2 linked regions of the Mytilus edulis genome follow. The protein of the gene in region 2 interacts with the protein of the main gene of each other region in a pairwise test. Links are inferred from orthologs where the notes say so. Each region holds a gene or a part of one and is shown on either strand. Other genes may lie near its edges.

Region 1 (8,306 bases), on a different chromosome or scaffold from region 2:
AAACATTAAGATAGATCTACTGATAAACAGAAAGAAATTTCTTAAAGAACTAAAAGTAATTTTGTGTTTTGTTATTTATTAGAATAACAGTTTGAAAATAACAGCAAGTTTGAAATGTTGTATGTTTTGCAGATGATAAAAAGACAGAATTGAAAGGCAATACATTTGTACTGTATAGTAGGATATTTTTGCATGGGGGTAATTTTTTGCTAGTTTGGGGATTAATGAAGAGAAAACTAAAAAAATCTCCCCACATACAATGTTATCTTAAAAGATCAAATTTAAAAAAAGGCAAATAAAACATTGCAAATAGATTTGGCTTTTGAAATCTCAAAAGTTATACTCTGTGAATAAAACAACCTTTTACAATGCATGCTAGTTACATTTGTTTATAAACAGAAACCTGTTAGAAATGAATTATAAGGAACTTTACATGCACTTAAATTGACAAATAGTAGTGATTATTTATGAGTACTGTATTAGTTTTATGTGGTCTTTATATGACATACAGCTCAGATGGGTTAAAATCATTTGATCTGTGTGAAATATAGTGCTGATAGGCCTAAATCTTAGTTGTTTGTGATTTTATGAAATATACAGCTGTGATTGGCCAAAATTTATAAATAGATTTCATTGTACTTTTGTTATTATAGTTTGATAGAAAACACAAGGTTAAGAGGACCAATAGCTTTTTCTAGTAAAACATTTGAAAAAAATAAGATTAATGATGCTTAGTCTTGTTTCTAAGACGTGTGAGAAGGGGATTGTCCTCTCATTTTGTTGTTAAACATTTAAAAGAAGTATCAGATTTTAAAAAGTGTGGCCATTTAGGATTGTAATTATACAGAAATGCTGCTTGTTTGCATGAATTTTCTTTGAACTGCAGAAGAAAATCATTTTAATCTTTGGTACATATAATCTTAAAAAAAACATTGATTTATGTATTCAAACATTTAAAATGAAAATTATGAGGGGATAAAGTTTATAACATTTAGGTTTATCAATGATTGTACATTTTGTACTATAAATCTATTGCTTCTATCATATTGCAATAAAATAAGTTCAGCGACACAAATTTTCTGCTCATATCTTTTTATTTATGAAGTTTATGTTGAAGTTCTCCGAAATATTATGTTAACAAAATATGATATTTCTTCACACAATCTGTTCATGTTTGATGATTGTCTTTGATTTGTAAATATAAAAAAGTTTTAGTTATCTGCATTGTTATATTTTTCAATTGGATAGATTCATTTAGGGACGACATCAAAAGTTCAATGTAGGATGAAAACTTAATTCATATAGTTTTTTCATTACCCCCCTACCCCCCTCTTAACTTAAATTGGGAAAAATTGATTGACCAATAAGGATATATATAAAGTCGATGTCAATTAAACAAAACATGCAGCAATTTTGACCCCCACCCCCGAGTTTTATTTTTTTTATCCTTCATTGATTTTTTGATGTCGTCCCTTAAGCAAATATGGTAATCAGAGAGACAGTAATTCATAAATTCAATTAAAACTATTCTCAAATGTTTTACTTTGTGAAACATACACTTTTTTAAAGGTATGTTATCAGATGAGCCATGTTTGTTTTACTCATGTCAGTCTTATATAAAGCTTGTTGTGTGAATCTTTATGACGTTCAATGCTATGTTTAATAATATGTGATAATAGCTGTGTGTTTGCAGTTAAGGTAGCTGGGGTGTCTTGGTCAATGTACGTTGAAATTTCATTTTGAAAACTGGGGGGTCACAGACCTTGTTTTTCTTTAAAATACATTGAAATTAACAAAATCAGTTATTTGATATGTGTTATAAAGGGGAAACATATTTTTATAAATGGAGGAACATTAAACAATAAAATTGGTTACACTTCAATGAAAGAACTGCATTTTATTAATATTTCCGAAATATCAAATAACAATGAGGGGTCGCATGCCTTATTTTCTTGTAAACATAAAAATTAAACACATATTGTTTTATCAATGTCTATATAATTATCTACCCTTGATTTTACAAAAAAAAAATCCTGAAAATTTGAAATCCACTTAATTTTTGGATAGTAAAAATCTTTAAATTTCAAGTCAAGTATTTTTGCAACATGTCCAGAAGGAATGCTTAAAAAAAAGATATACCTCTATCTTACGTGCAACAATCGTATTCTGAAAGAGTGTTTTATTTTTGAACAGAAAGCTAGGGGTACTACAACTATAATAATATTGCTTTTGTCCAACTTTATGTGTCGTTTATCACTTGCTGAGGTTTAAGGATCGTCAAAATATGATTAATTCAAAGAATTATTTACAAAATAGAAAAATAAAATATACAAACTATTTAAGATTAATGTTATGTTTAAAAAAATTAAAACGATAGTAGATGAAATTCATGTTGTTTGAATTCTAATGATCATTCATTTCTATTGGATATACTGATATATAAAACAGTTTTAGTAATGTTTTATTACCAAATTGTAACCATTTTGAAAACCGTATTTAAGTTTTTATAATGTAATATATGATCAATTTAATGAAAATTACTGGTAACCCCTTTTCTAATATGTCATGCATGGGGTACAAATTAAAGATGTAATTTTAGTTAGATTTTGATTTATGATTATTTTGCATTGACTTGTTATATGATTTGAGAAAGATTTTGTTTTTATTTGTGTGTATGAAATATTTGTATATTAGAAGTGAAGTTGAAACCAGAATTATACAGATGTGTTTAAACATGCTGATGTTGCACTTATTAAAGATTCGTTGTAGCTTTGTTACATTTGTTGTTCTTAAATTTTTAGTAAAGTTTCAAAATATAAATATATATATATATATATAAATATATATAAATAAACATGTAGAATAAAAAGGATGAGATTCAAGATTATGGTACATTAACAGAAAGCAAACAATAGTGAAACACAAATTTATTGGAAACAAAGGGATATGGCCTGACTATCCATATGAAAAAATTATATGTTTATTGTTTTTATTTGACAGCTGTAAAGATTACACCTAAAAACAAAACTAATATGGCCTAATTATGACTTTTTATCTGGCTGTGCTGAAAAAAAGGAGGTCTTTATGTAGTCATTTTGAAAATTGGTACAAATGTTCCCTATGATATGCTCCATCTAATTTTAATGCCAAATTTCACTGAACAAAGAAAATGATAGTGCAAGCGAGGCATCTGTGTACTATGGACACATTCTTGTTTTTTAGGTGTTTCTATAAAATATATTGAAAACTTGAGATTACATAATAACTAAAGCTTGTAAACAGGAAAGAAAAGGATGGAAATTTGATTGGTTAACTTCCAGCGATGGTTGTCATCATTGTATATGCAATGAAATATTATGTGATTTTTTTAGTAATGGACAGGATAAAACTTTACTCACACATTTTGTCATAGCAAATATTTCTTTATGTGAAGCAAAGATAAATTCTGCACAATTTTTTTAAAACTGCAATTTTAACAAAGACTCAAAGGAGAAACAATGGTGGTATTACACCGGTATTGTAGTTCTCATAGAATTTTGAAACGCTGGTGAATACCTGAGAAATTCTATAATTATAAAATGGGAGGAAGATACAATAAAAAAACAGTCAAAATACAATTTAAAAAACAATACATGTTACAATATTATACAATACTCTACATCTTAAAATCTTATACAATATAATACAGTACAATACATTTAACAATACAAACATATTTTAAGCAACAATACAATACAATACAATACAGTAGGATATGTTATTTCAATTGTAATCTTGTGCTTGCCTTTGAATTGTGATGTTGAGGATTTGAACCATGGCTGGGTCAAAACCAAAGACCTCAAAATTGGTATTTGCTGCTTTTCTTTTTGGCGTACCAAATTAAGGGGTACGAGCAAAGACTGTTCATATAGGAGTCCGAAAATGTATCCAGATAGGACAACATGTCATCATGCAGGTTGTTACCGTGGTGAACTAGCACCTTATTAATCCAGCTCAGCATGTTGGTCTAGTACAAAGCAGGGTTGGTATTTATAGTTCATTAACATGTTCTCGTCCTTAATATGCATTAAATTTGCAGCTGGACATTAAGCCATCATCGTCATTCCCATTAAGGTCATTAACAAACTATGATGGTGGGAACATAGAAAATTTATTATACCAAAATTAAGGGGTGAAAATATAACACTTTACAAATTGCCTGCATCTAAAGCACTTTTCCGGATTAACTTCATCAGATACACTCAAACTTGAACATTAGAAAGCCATGTATAAAGGAAGAGAAACACTTCAAAAATTAAAGCAATGTGTATTTATAGACTTACTCAGATGATTTGCCCTTAAATATAGGTTATTATTTTTAAAAGAATTTTACAGGTGGATTGACTTTTGACAAAATTATTACATAATTCAGTTATGATTAAACTTGCCAGTTGGATAAAGGTTAAGGCTCTCAGGAGAAAATACACAACTTATTCCTTAAGAAAGAAAGTAGCAAATTAAGAATAAGGGCACACTCACTAACAATAGAATCTTGCAGATAACTGATATCCAAAAAAAATCTACTTAAAGAACACCACATCTTCCTATATCTATTAAAGACTTAGAAAATTGTGCATGCAGGACATGTTGAAATAGATAGTGACAATTCTTTCTCAAGTGTCCTCACTATATTTAAATTAGAAGCACTGCTGAGCCTCATGATATTCTAAGACTTAACTTATAACAGGCTGGTACAAGTCAAATTGGCACCTGGTTAAATCGGCATCTAGTCAATTCGGCACCTATTTAAAGCCAATTAGTTCCAATAATATTTGATACAATATATTATATATATAAATAATGCTAAAAATGTATAAATTCATGATCTATTTTGGGGGTTTGATTTTATCATGCATTATAACACATGTGTGATTCAACTTAAAAAATTTGTTTTTACAATTAGTTTATTAGTGTAATATCACAACTCTGTTGGGTTTTTTCCAATAGAAGATAGAATACAAATTACAAAATACAACTTTACCAGCAGTGAAATTCTACTTAAGGAAAATTTATATGTGCCTGAAAGGTTTTACTGTACTGAAGATTGAGAACATGGTTATGCGTTATCATCATAGCTATAGTTTTTGGTAATTAGGCAGACTTTAAAAAATTATCATGGTTCCCTGTTTTAAAATTTATAAATAGGAGCAAACGTGTACATGTTCTTCATCGATCTAACGTCAGAACCAGATATTCAACATGGCAGAGTATCTGGCATCGATTTTTGGAACAGAAAAAGACAAGTATGATCAACAATAACGCACTAACAAATTAAACAACGAAATGATCATTTCTATAAGATATGACGAATTAAGGATGCTCATTTTAATACCCTAAAATGAGCCTCATTATAGCTGATAAACAGAGAAAATGCCAAGCACCGGCTCGTGCCATGGGCTAGCCTAATGACGCACTTGAGGCTTTGGCTTTATTGTTCTCTAGACTCCTAAAATGATTAAATCTAGTATTAAATTGGGTTAAATATGATATCTTATGACTATTATGTACGTTTTCATAATTCTAGATCATGACTATTGTAAAAAAAAAAAAGTTAAAAATAATCAGAAAATCTCACACCGATTCACTATAAGTCTTACATGTCTGAGGTAAATACCTTATCGCTATGTGGAAATCTGCGCCTTTTGAACTATTGACTTCATACAACTATCCATATTCCATTGTGGTGTCAGATATTTTCAATTGTGACGTCAAAATTTAACAGACGAGTAAAGGTGGATAAAAAGCATTAATTTAAATCTGATAAACGAAGGGTGAAAGATTCCAGAGGGACATGCAAACTCATAAATCGAAAATAAACTGACACCGCCATAGATAGAAATGAAAAAAAAACCAAACAAACAATAGTACTCAAAACACATCATAGAAAAAGACTATTAAAGCAACACAAACCTCACCAAAAACTATGTGTATCTCTGGTGCTTTGGCATAATTGCGACCTTTACAGACGCATGATAAAAACCAAAATGGCAAAAAGCCATGCTAACAACTATTAAATAAAAGGTAAACGGACAGAAAGTCACAGGACAAAAAGTCACAAATAATTTGTTGACAATTGATTGAATATACGAGAGAAAGATCTTGAAATATTTTCTTTTTGTAACTTAAATTTATTTCGTAAGTTTAGGCAATTGTTCATAAGCCTTGATATATGAAAATTTATTAAAATTAATCATACATATATGCACCACTTTGAGTACCTCAGGCAGAATAAATTGTATATAAACTGTCCTGAAGACGCCTGCCTAGATAATAAAATTGCAGACCATTTGAAGTGTTGTTGTCAATTTTGAATATTATTTATAATACTAGATTGCACATTTACAAATGTATGCTTTAAGAAATAGGTGTCATAGGAATTAATTGACAAAATTTAGTTTCAAAGAAACACATTGACATTTTGCAGGGTTTAAGCTAGGATTTTGAGGGCTTTAGTCACTTTTGCGCGCTATTAAAATCAACCTTATTTTGTGTAAAAGCAAGGGACCAATGATGTATATTATTAGCTTCATCTTTTGACTTAATTTGTCAGATTTTAAGGGATTGAGGCACCAGCATGATTGGCAGTTATTGTATGATTTGACTGTATTGGCCATTATTATGAAAGATTCTGAAATGGAATCCAGAAATTTAGTTCACAATTTCTCTTCAGTTTGTTCCAGGGGTCATTCCTGATCAACAAAAGTTGGATTCTATTTTTTTTAAACAAGGAATCACAGCAGAAATTAACTTGCAATGATTATTTCACTGCATAATCATTATCCATATAAAAGGTCTAAATCGATATTTGGAAATCATTTCTTTCAAGTTGGAAATGTGTAAAATCCTTTTTGGAACTATAATAATGACTGAAAGTAGGTTGTAAACAAATCAACAATAGATCACGTTTACTACTTTCGGTTTTAAAATGAAACGAAAACGGGAAGTGACACGTGGATAATAAATTCAAAACGAGTCCGGATTCATCAGGAAATTATCATTTTTTTGTTTAAATTCCTTTAGTAAGAGATATTTGTCTCTCTCGTTTAATTGATTCTAAATTAAATGATTTCGTATTTTACGTTTTTTTTAAAGTCTATAAATAGTCAAAGGAATACTTTCACGCATGCGTAGAACACAATACAGGAAGCACCTGTTTAACTCGTGACAGTTTTGAATAAACACATTAAAGTTCTTTATTTTAAATGGAAATTGTCGAAAGTTTTTTGATGAAAATTTAAATCAAATATAACGAAAATGCCTTCAAATGACGAATCTACGACAAATGAACTTCAGATCATTGGAAAAATATTGAAATTCAAATGTGAACTGACCGGGTTGTTACATTTTTGATTAATTGACGAAACTAAACTCCTGGTTGTTGAAATGACTTGACGACTGACTGATTTTCCTGGGGAAATAATTATGATGGTCATTCAATTATGGGGTTTAATAATAATTAACGGATTAGTGACCCATCAGATGGCGATAAGCGGATTAGTTGTAATCACAACTTGTAACACCTGTTAAAAATGTTAATTACCTGGAGGTCATAAACTTGTCAAAAACATGAAGACAGGTAGATTTATAGTTTTTATTGCGAATTTTTTTTTACACTTTCAAAATTAAAGTGACGAAATTGATTTGAAATACTTTCGTCAATGAGAAAACCCTTTCGTAAAATACGAAAGTGACGAGCGCTAGCAAAATCACTGCATTTTGTAATTGTTTCATTTCAGAGTTAACTGTTCCTTTTACTTTAAAATTGGTGCCTGTCGACATGGAGAAAGATGTTCACGTCTTCACAACAAACCAACTTTCAGTCAGGTGACATAACTTAACATTTTTTTTTGTTATTTAAGTAGATCATTAGTCTCATCAATGAGTAAATTTTTTTAGTGTTTAAGAAACACAGAAAAAGACATTCATAACTTTAATTGTTAATAAAATAACAAACATGAAAAAAGTAATTTCATTATATTTTAAAAGTTTTTAACGTCTTACATGTAAGTTTTCGAACCTGTTTCTGTTACATTCATGTTTCATACATGGAATCATTTGTACAACGCTAAATCCATTTCTTGAAGTACTGCAAACAAATCTCATTTTGAATTAATTCTTTAGCATTGTCTTAAAGTTTGTTTGAGTGAACCAATGCATTGAATGTACATGTAACTGAAGAATTGATTATGATACGATGTGTATTGTATGTTTCAGACTGTTGTTATGATCAATGCCTACCTGAACCCACAGAATGCTGCCCTTACAGC
Region 2 (8,297 bases):
TTAAATCGTTATCACTGAACTAGTATATATATTGTATAGGGGCCAGCTGAAGGACGCCTCCGGGTGCGGGAATTTTTCGCTGCATTGAAGACCTGTTGGTGACCTTAATTCTGCTGTTGTATGTTTTTCTATGGTCGGGTTGTTGCCAGTGTCTCTTTGACAAATTCCCCATTTCCATTCTCAATTTTATTATACGAACAAGAACAAACAGCTCTACGTTGCTTTGATATTTATCAATTTTCAGGAAACATTGCGAAAAATGATCTTCAATATTTCGAAAACATGTGAAATAAAATTGCTAACACGGTGGACCGTCGAGTGTCAACAAACGTAGTAGACTTGTTCACTGAAAAGACGAGGATAATGGTTTCATCTGACATTTGTTATGCAAACCCAGTTTTGATCATGATATTTAAAAAGACGTACTTTTTTTCAATCTATGTATTAATAAACTAGAAAATTCCAAATTGTAAATATCTCTTCATCTGGACCGACTTGGCATCTACTACGTTTGGACGGGTCCATTTCATTTGTAAGGTGATCGATAAATATTACGGAGTTTTGACAGAAAAGGAAAACGAACTTATTGTTATGTGTTTTCAACAAGGGTTTCGTTCCGCTAAATTATTTGCGCAAATAAAGTTTGTCTATTTTTAGATTACAGGTAATAATTTGACACTACGCATTAACCTGTGTAGTGATTTTGATTTTACGATAAATGTATGAATGAACGATAATTTTATGAATGAACAAGAGCACCTGACCTCTTAAAGAAACACAAATTAAACATAAAAAACCGTATTTATTAGGAGATAATTCAGTTAAATTTTCAATACTAAATCAGCAACTGAAATGAATCCATATTTTGTTGAAACATCGTACGAACGGCGGAAAACGGAATCGCATTTATAAAAATGTACTTTTTTTCACTCGGACTTCTATGTTATTTGATAGTCAAACGGTTGACCCTTTAAATACAAAAATACATCTACAAGAACATATTCTGAAACTTCTTAAATCTACTAACTTTTTTTTAAAGTTTCAAGCTATGTATTGCATTAGAAAACATACATAGGTGTTAAAGAATGACTGACCAGGAGCCTGTTTAACAAAATACTATGGCTTGATCTGGGCGGAGTCTCTGATCTGGGTCACAAAGATGGCCATACGCGACGGCATAAAAGCAATTGCTTTAAAAATCCAATATGGTGTCCATAACATGTTTTTACTTTTGCACATGTGAAAAAATATTTCTCACAAAAGTCAGATTTCTCTTGTCAAAAGGGATTTATATTTATATTGCAATAAATTATTCAGAAGGATCTACATTCAGTTAAGATTATATTTCTGATTCTGTGAGCAATTATAGTTTTATCAAATTCTCCCAAACAGCAACGTGTTGACTGTCTAATGAGACTTGTAAATTTGAACTATTTGAATAAAAGGGCATCTAATTTACATGATAAAGGAAGATTATAATTAAAGACAACAATTTATCGAGAAATAATTCCTTTTTATTCAGTAAAAACAAAATCTTCTTGCATGATTGTAAATTCGCAACTTCCGGATCCATTTCCTGTCAGAATAACTTTGAAAATATTCGATTGCACATGGTTTTGAACAAATCTACCTGAATATTCTTATCAGATATTCGATAACACGATGAAATTAACATTGAGCATATAGGTAAGGGTTTGGTAGTACAAACAACTACAGCGTAAAAAAACTGTGCCACTTCACATGTTTTACTTCTTTACGTTCGTTAAATCAGAAGATAAAAACAGAGAACATCGAATATCGATTAACTGCGTCTCTTATACGCTTTCTTTTAATCTTATTTAGTTACTTTCAAACGCAAAGATGACAAATATTAAGTTTCGTACGATGACGGAGCGGACCCAAAATAAATCCGAAGAAAAAAAAAAATTCTTCCATAAAACGTCAAAAAAAGAATTTGAGTCGGCTGGTTTATTTTGGGTCGGTCGCGTTTGGGCAAACATACAATCTTTTTATTTTGGCCTTGGTGATTATTTCTTAATGAATCAGAATACCTTTTTGATTTCCTTTTTCTTTCTCTAGACCTTGATCTTTTTCTGTCCTTACTTCTTGAACGTGGTTTTCTTGGTGATCGTGATCTAGATCTTCGTCTGTTATTAGAAACTTTTTCCTCTTTAAATTCCCCTGCTAATATATTTGACTTTTTTTATAAATAAGTTCATGAAGTACAGTATTTTAGATATTGTGATTTGTCTGTATATTGTCAAATGTGTATTATATTTATATTTTTAATATGCCTAATAATATAGGACCAACATGAAACAATAAACTGATACAACATTTATTTTTGAACACAAAAGAAGTTGCAATGGTTTGTTGTATTTTTACACATGATTAAAAAGCCTGAAAAGTTTTAAAGTTTAGGACTTTTAACTTTTAGAATTTAGTCAAGTGGTCCTCCATCACAAGTAATTTTCTTACTCTGTATCTTTAAACAACTGTTTGTTCCTTCTCTTCAAACATATGTTGACTTCAAGATATATTTTTGTATTTTGTATTATGAAGGTTGCTGTCTTACTGATATAAAATATGCATTGAAAATTACAGAAGAATAGAGCACCTGTTAATATCTTTAATTTTACTATGTGATGTTTTGTGAACTTATATTGTGTTTTGACTTTACAGTGTTTTTCTTTTTTTATCATGGTATTCACTATTGTAGGTTTTTGAGGGATTTTTTTTCAACTGTTGTCTTCATATCCTCTTCCTCTTTTAAGGAAAACCAGGACGACATGAAATAATACACAAATTTGCAATTTTTTTGCCTAACTAGCCCATGTTTGATTTTTATACATCATTGACCATGATAATGGTAGAATGTAAAACTCAAAAGCAGTATCCACATTTCTAACAGCTTAATAAAATTCTGATATGTAGATGGACTGTTTCTTGGATAAGTTGTTGTTTGCAAAATTATTATTGCATGTCCATTAACAAAATAGCTAATAATCAATCAAGGATCCCTATCTCTCTGTACAAGAAAACCAGTTACATACCAATTCCTAAAAGTAAAAAAAAGTTAATAAGTTGTAAAATGAAAGTATGAACATGATGAAGGGACTAACACATTTTTTGCATATAACATAATTCAAATACATTCCTTTTGAAATGTACCTGAATGAATCTAATCTATGCCCCCCATGATGGAATCAGTCTAGCTTTGATTTAAAGTTTTACTTCTATATACATGTATGTGTATGCATTTTTTCAATAATTTTCTTAACATTTTAATTACAAGGCAATGGCAGATACAGAAGGGAGGGGGTACTGACTACCATATGAGGGGGCCTGCTCCAATGATACCCTGAATATTCAACCAATATTTCCCACAAAAGAAGGGCCCAGGCCCCCTGTTCCACCTAAATCTGCCTCTACAAGAATTTCATTTCAAACTGCTTGAAAAGTTGACCATGATAAATCAATAATATAAATTTATTTTTGTTGAAAATTTCACAAAGGAAATATAACTAGAGGCTCTCAAGAGCCTGTGTCGCTCACCTGTTAATGTGTTTACTGATGTCGGCCATCTTCGTTGGTAGGCGGGGTCATTAGACACTTTTTTTTTTAAATAGATACCCTAGTACAATGTATTATGATTGTAGCGAAGTTTGATTAAATTTGGACAAGTCGTTTTCGAAAAGATTTTTATACAAGTTACAAAAATGACGAAAAGTTGTTCAATATTGACTATAAAGGGCAATAACTCCTTAAGGGGTCCTCTAACAATTTTGATCATGCTGACTTATTTGTAGATCTTACTTTGCTGAACATTATTGCTGTTTACAGTTTATCTCTATCTATAATAGTATTCAAGATAATAACCAAAAACTGCAAAATATCCTTAAAATCACAAATTTTAGGGCAGCAACCCAACAACCGGTTGTCCGATTCAACTCAAAATTTGTGAGGGGATATATCTTATTCTGATGGACATTTAAATGTTGAAAGATTTGCCCTAAATGTCTTAGTTTCAAAGATATAAAGCAAAAACTGCATTTTACCACTATGTTCTAATTTTAGCCATGTCGGCCATTTTGTTTAGTAGGCTGGGTCATCGGACACATTTTTTAAACTATAAACCACAATGATAATTGTGGCCAAGTTTGGTTAAATTTGGCAAAGTAGTTTTGGAGAAGAAGATTTTTAGAAAAGTTTCAAAAAATGACGAAAAGTTGTTAAAAATTTACTATAAAGGGCAATAACTCCTTAAGGGGTCAACTGACAATTTTGGTCATGTTGACTTATTTGTAGGTCTTACCTTGCTGAACATTATTGCTGTTTACAGTTTATCTCTATCTACATGTATAATAATATTCAAGATAATAACCAAAAACAGCAATATTTTCCTAAAATTACCAATTCAGGGGCAGCAACCCGACAATGGGTTGTCCGATTCATCTGAAAATTTCAGGGCAGATAGATCTTGACCTGATAAACAATTTTACCCCTTGTCAGATTTGCTCTAAATGCTTTGGTTTTTGAGTTATAAGCCAAAAACTGCATTTTACCCCTATGTTCTATTTTTAGCCATGGCAGCCATCTTGGTTGGTTGGCCGGGTCACGCCACACATTTTTTAAACTAGATATCCCAATGATGATTGTGGCCAAGTTTGGTTTAGTTTGGCATGGTAGTTTCAGAGGAGAAGATTTTTGTAAAAGATTACTAAGATTTACGAAAAATGGTTAAAAATTGACTATAAAGGCCAATAACTCCTAAAGGGGTCAACTGACCATTTTAAATATATTGACTTATTTGTAGATCTTACTTTGCTGAACATTATTGCTGTTTACAGTTTATCTCTATCTATAATAATATTCAAGATAATAACCAAAAACAACAAAATTGCCCTAAAATTTCCAATTCAGGGGCAGCAACCCAACAACCGGTTGTCAGATTCATCTGAAAATTTCAGGGCAGATAGATCTTGACCTGATAAACAATTTTACCCCATATCAGATTTGCTCTAAATGCTTTGGTTTTTGAGTTATAAGCCAAAAACTGCATTTTACCCCTATGTTCTATTTTTAGCCATGGCGGCCATCTTGGTTGGTTTGACGGGTCACGCCACACATTTTTTAAACTAGATACCCCAAGGATGATTGTGGCCAAGTTTGGTAGAATTTGGCCCAGTAGTTTCAGAGGAGAAGATTTTTGTAAAAGTTTACGGACGACGGACGACAGACGACGGACGACGGACGCAGGACGACGGACGACGGACGCCAAGTGATGAGAAAAGCTCACTTGACCTTTCAGGTCAGGTGAGCTAAAAACAAAAAGGAAATATAAAAACAAAAAGTTTTCAGAGTGATCTTTAAACATGATTAACAAATGGGTATGATGAACATATATGAAGTTTGAGATTGAAATGTGAGGAAATAGAGGGGAGGTACAATGTATGGGTGCACAAAAACATGTTTAACTCCACCATATTCTGTATGTTCCTGACCCAGACCAGTATTTCCAGCAACCTGCAAATGTATTATTCAGTGGTTGCTGTTTGTTGCTGTATATTATTTTTGAATTTTATTTGCTCTTTTTGAACAAAATCCATTTGTTAATTTTCTACAGTGAATTTTTACCGTTTGGCATGCCACATTACAAGAGAAGATAATTTACATGAGAGATAAAAAGTTAAAAGACAATGATTGAAGACAGCATTTCAAAGCATGCTTGAGGTTTTGTTCTTTGTTCAAGGTCACCAGACAGATTTCACGAAAATGGTAGGTCCTGCCGGTCCTGTCGGTCAAAATGAGGCTTGAACCAATATTTTGAAAGCTAGTTCCGGTCCTGATGACCGATGTAAAAATGGCCGTCGCAGTGCCTTTTTAATCGGTAATTAGTTACACTGCAATACATATTTACCTCGGTCATCAGATGTACCTGCTGGTAATTTCCGGTACTGGTTTCCTATTATAAACAAACGGAAACCTACGGAAACGAAAGCGCCAATCTACATGTGGCCTGCTAAATTTGTTCATTAAGCCATCCCAGGCAAACAATCGATGATTGAACCCTTTGGTGGAGATAACAAATACTGAGAAATTGATTCAGATGATGAAATGGATAGTGAAGATGACTTTAAATAAGAACAATCAGAAGATAAGAATCAGTTATTCATTGTTTATTTGCCGGTGGCTGTGAAAAATCAAACTAACAATAATAAAGTTATTTTAGATAAAATATTTTATTTTTATTTTAGGATAAAATTGACAGATTTTTTAGGACTGGCTAAAATTTTGTAGGACTGACTTTTATTGATCTTGCTTTATCGGTCCCATGGCCAACGGGTCAAAACAAGTTTTCGCGAACTCTGACCAGATGAGATTTAGTAACTAAACTCTATTTCATTTGGTATCTGATGGATTATTATCTCAAATGGCAATAATACATTATCTCCTTATATTATATAGTGAAGGAATGCCAGAATACCAGGAGAGAAACAATTAATTAAGCTCGAAAACTGTAAAACATAACTCACAAAGGCAGCAGAATGCAATGCACAAGATCATGATTTGACAATTTTTAGAAAAGTCTTAACCCTTTCAACGCTATACACGGCATATGTCGCGATGACATACGCCGTCCGCCACTGCTATTCGCGGCATATGCCGCGATGACAACGGATTTTTCATAAGGACTCTTAAACCATTCGGTTTTCATTCGGGTCCTCTCTAATTTTTCCTTGTATGAATCTAGGATATGCAAGGTCTCATTTGCGCTTGAAATCCCGGCATTTTTTATTGTAAAATCATGCAGTAGAAGGAAAATTGAAGGAAAATAAAAACAAATATTTTGACAAATGCAAATGGCGGAAATCGGAAAGGAAGCTGTAAATATGGAAATATTTCAGCATTTCTATGGCAAAACTGATGACTAGGATTAGTTAAAAGGTTTCTTGTTATCTCAATGTGTTTATTACATTCAATTCGTGTGGAAAATATGATTTGATCGATCATTACGAGTCGTAGAAAAAGGGGGGAAAACAGAGATTGACTGAAAATTTTGAGGACGGAGCCACTGATTTGTGCCATGATAACATAATACGTTATGTATGGTGCAATACGCTACGGAATCGAGCAATTGGTGTCTTCTTTATTATATGGCAGATAAAAAAACAAAATAGATGAAGACTAAAAGTAGTTTTTATTCAAAATTCAACACAAATGTAATAAATTACACCTTTTACCTGTTAATTACCTGAAAATGCAGGTAACCTGATACAAATTTTACTGAAATAACTGCCTAACATTACAGTTCATACTCTCCTGAGCATTTTTCATGCAATAACTTTTTCTGTATCTCTTATAATAAAAAAGATACAGCAGTCTGAAAAGAAATATACTGTTCTAATGAATAAACACAAAAAAAATGCAGCAGCAGCAGCCATTTTTCTCTTTTTTTGTGTAGCGTTGAAAGGGTTAAAAGAATTCCAAATGACAGTTTAAAATTTATAGCTTTTGCAACGTTTCGGCAAAAAACCTGTTCAGCTTAATGTGGTTTAGGTCATTAACTAGTTCATTTTGGCCCATTATACTTTTTTTTGGTTCTATCAATGTTTTGAATAATACATTCATTTTATAAAATAAGAGGTAGGTAAATATATCTTTATATGTAATGTAGACTTTCTAAATAAAGATAAACTTGTATGATCAAGCCTCAAGGATGTGTAACTACTTCTATACATCATTGGTGTCATGCAGAGCAGAGTCCGATTTAAAAAGGACCAGAAAAAAATTTGGTTGATTATATAGGTTATTACTGACGAATGACTGGAGCACCCCCTTCTTAGGCAGTTCCCCAACTTACAAAAATTTCTGGATTGACCACTGTAGACTAATTATATAAGTAGCAAGAAAAACAGTCCATTTCTGTGGCCTTTAAAGTTTTATAGCCGACTATGCAGTATGGATGCTCATTGTTGTTTTCATTTTTGTAAAACATTACGACGAAAAATCATGAGAGTAATAAAGTGATTTTTTTTCAGTTATCAAGGACGAGGGTGAATAATAAATAAATGAAAGAATGTGAACATGATGAACAACAAAAATCTCTTTTAATAATGTATGACTGAAATTAAGTTTACTTCATGGCCGAATCATCTCTCTTCCTTTAAATCAAATCAGCACTGTCCTCTACTCAAGCTCTGAACAGCAGTATCATCGAAATAGCAACATATTATTTATAAATAAAGATAACACTTCTGCTCCATTTGGACTAAATTGTTACCCTGACGAATAAG

What was found. The genes of interacting proteins can lie anywhere in the genome.
Region 1: the proteins of splicing factor U2AF 50 kDa subunit-like (region 2) and splicing factor U2AF 35 kDa subunit-like interact in binary tests that used the Drosophila melanogaster proteins (3 or more experiments, as listed by UniProt). The link is inferred for Mytilus edulis from reciprocal best matches to the Drosophila melanogaster genes U2af50 and U2af38.

What each region holds. Positions count from the first base shown.
Region 1 is NC_092348.1:80,711,062-80,719,367, reverse strand, and holds the start of splicing factor U2AF 35 kDa subunit-like, read left to right. Parts: upstream 1-5,157; 5' UTR 5,158-5,238; coding exon 5,239-5,282; intron 5,283-7,775; coding exon 7,776-7,863; intron 7,864-8,253; coding exon 8,254-8,306. UniProt on the Drosophila melanogaster protein: Necessary for the splicing of pre-mRNA. Binds to the polypyrimidine tract of introns early during spliceosome assembly.
Region 2 is NC_092352.1:31,991,541-31,999,837, reverse strand, and holds the start of splicing factor U2AF 50 kDa subunit-like, read right to left. Parts: upstream 3,585-8,297; coding exon 3,572-3,584; intron 3,060-3,571; coding exon 3,054-3,059; intron 2,182-3,053; coding exon 2,052-2,181; intron 1-2,051. UniProt on the Drosophila melanogaster protein: Necessary for the splicing of pre-mRNA. Binds to the polypyrimidine tract of introns early during spliceosome assembly.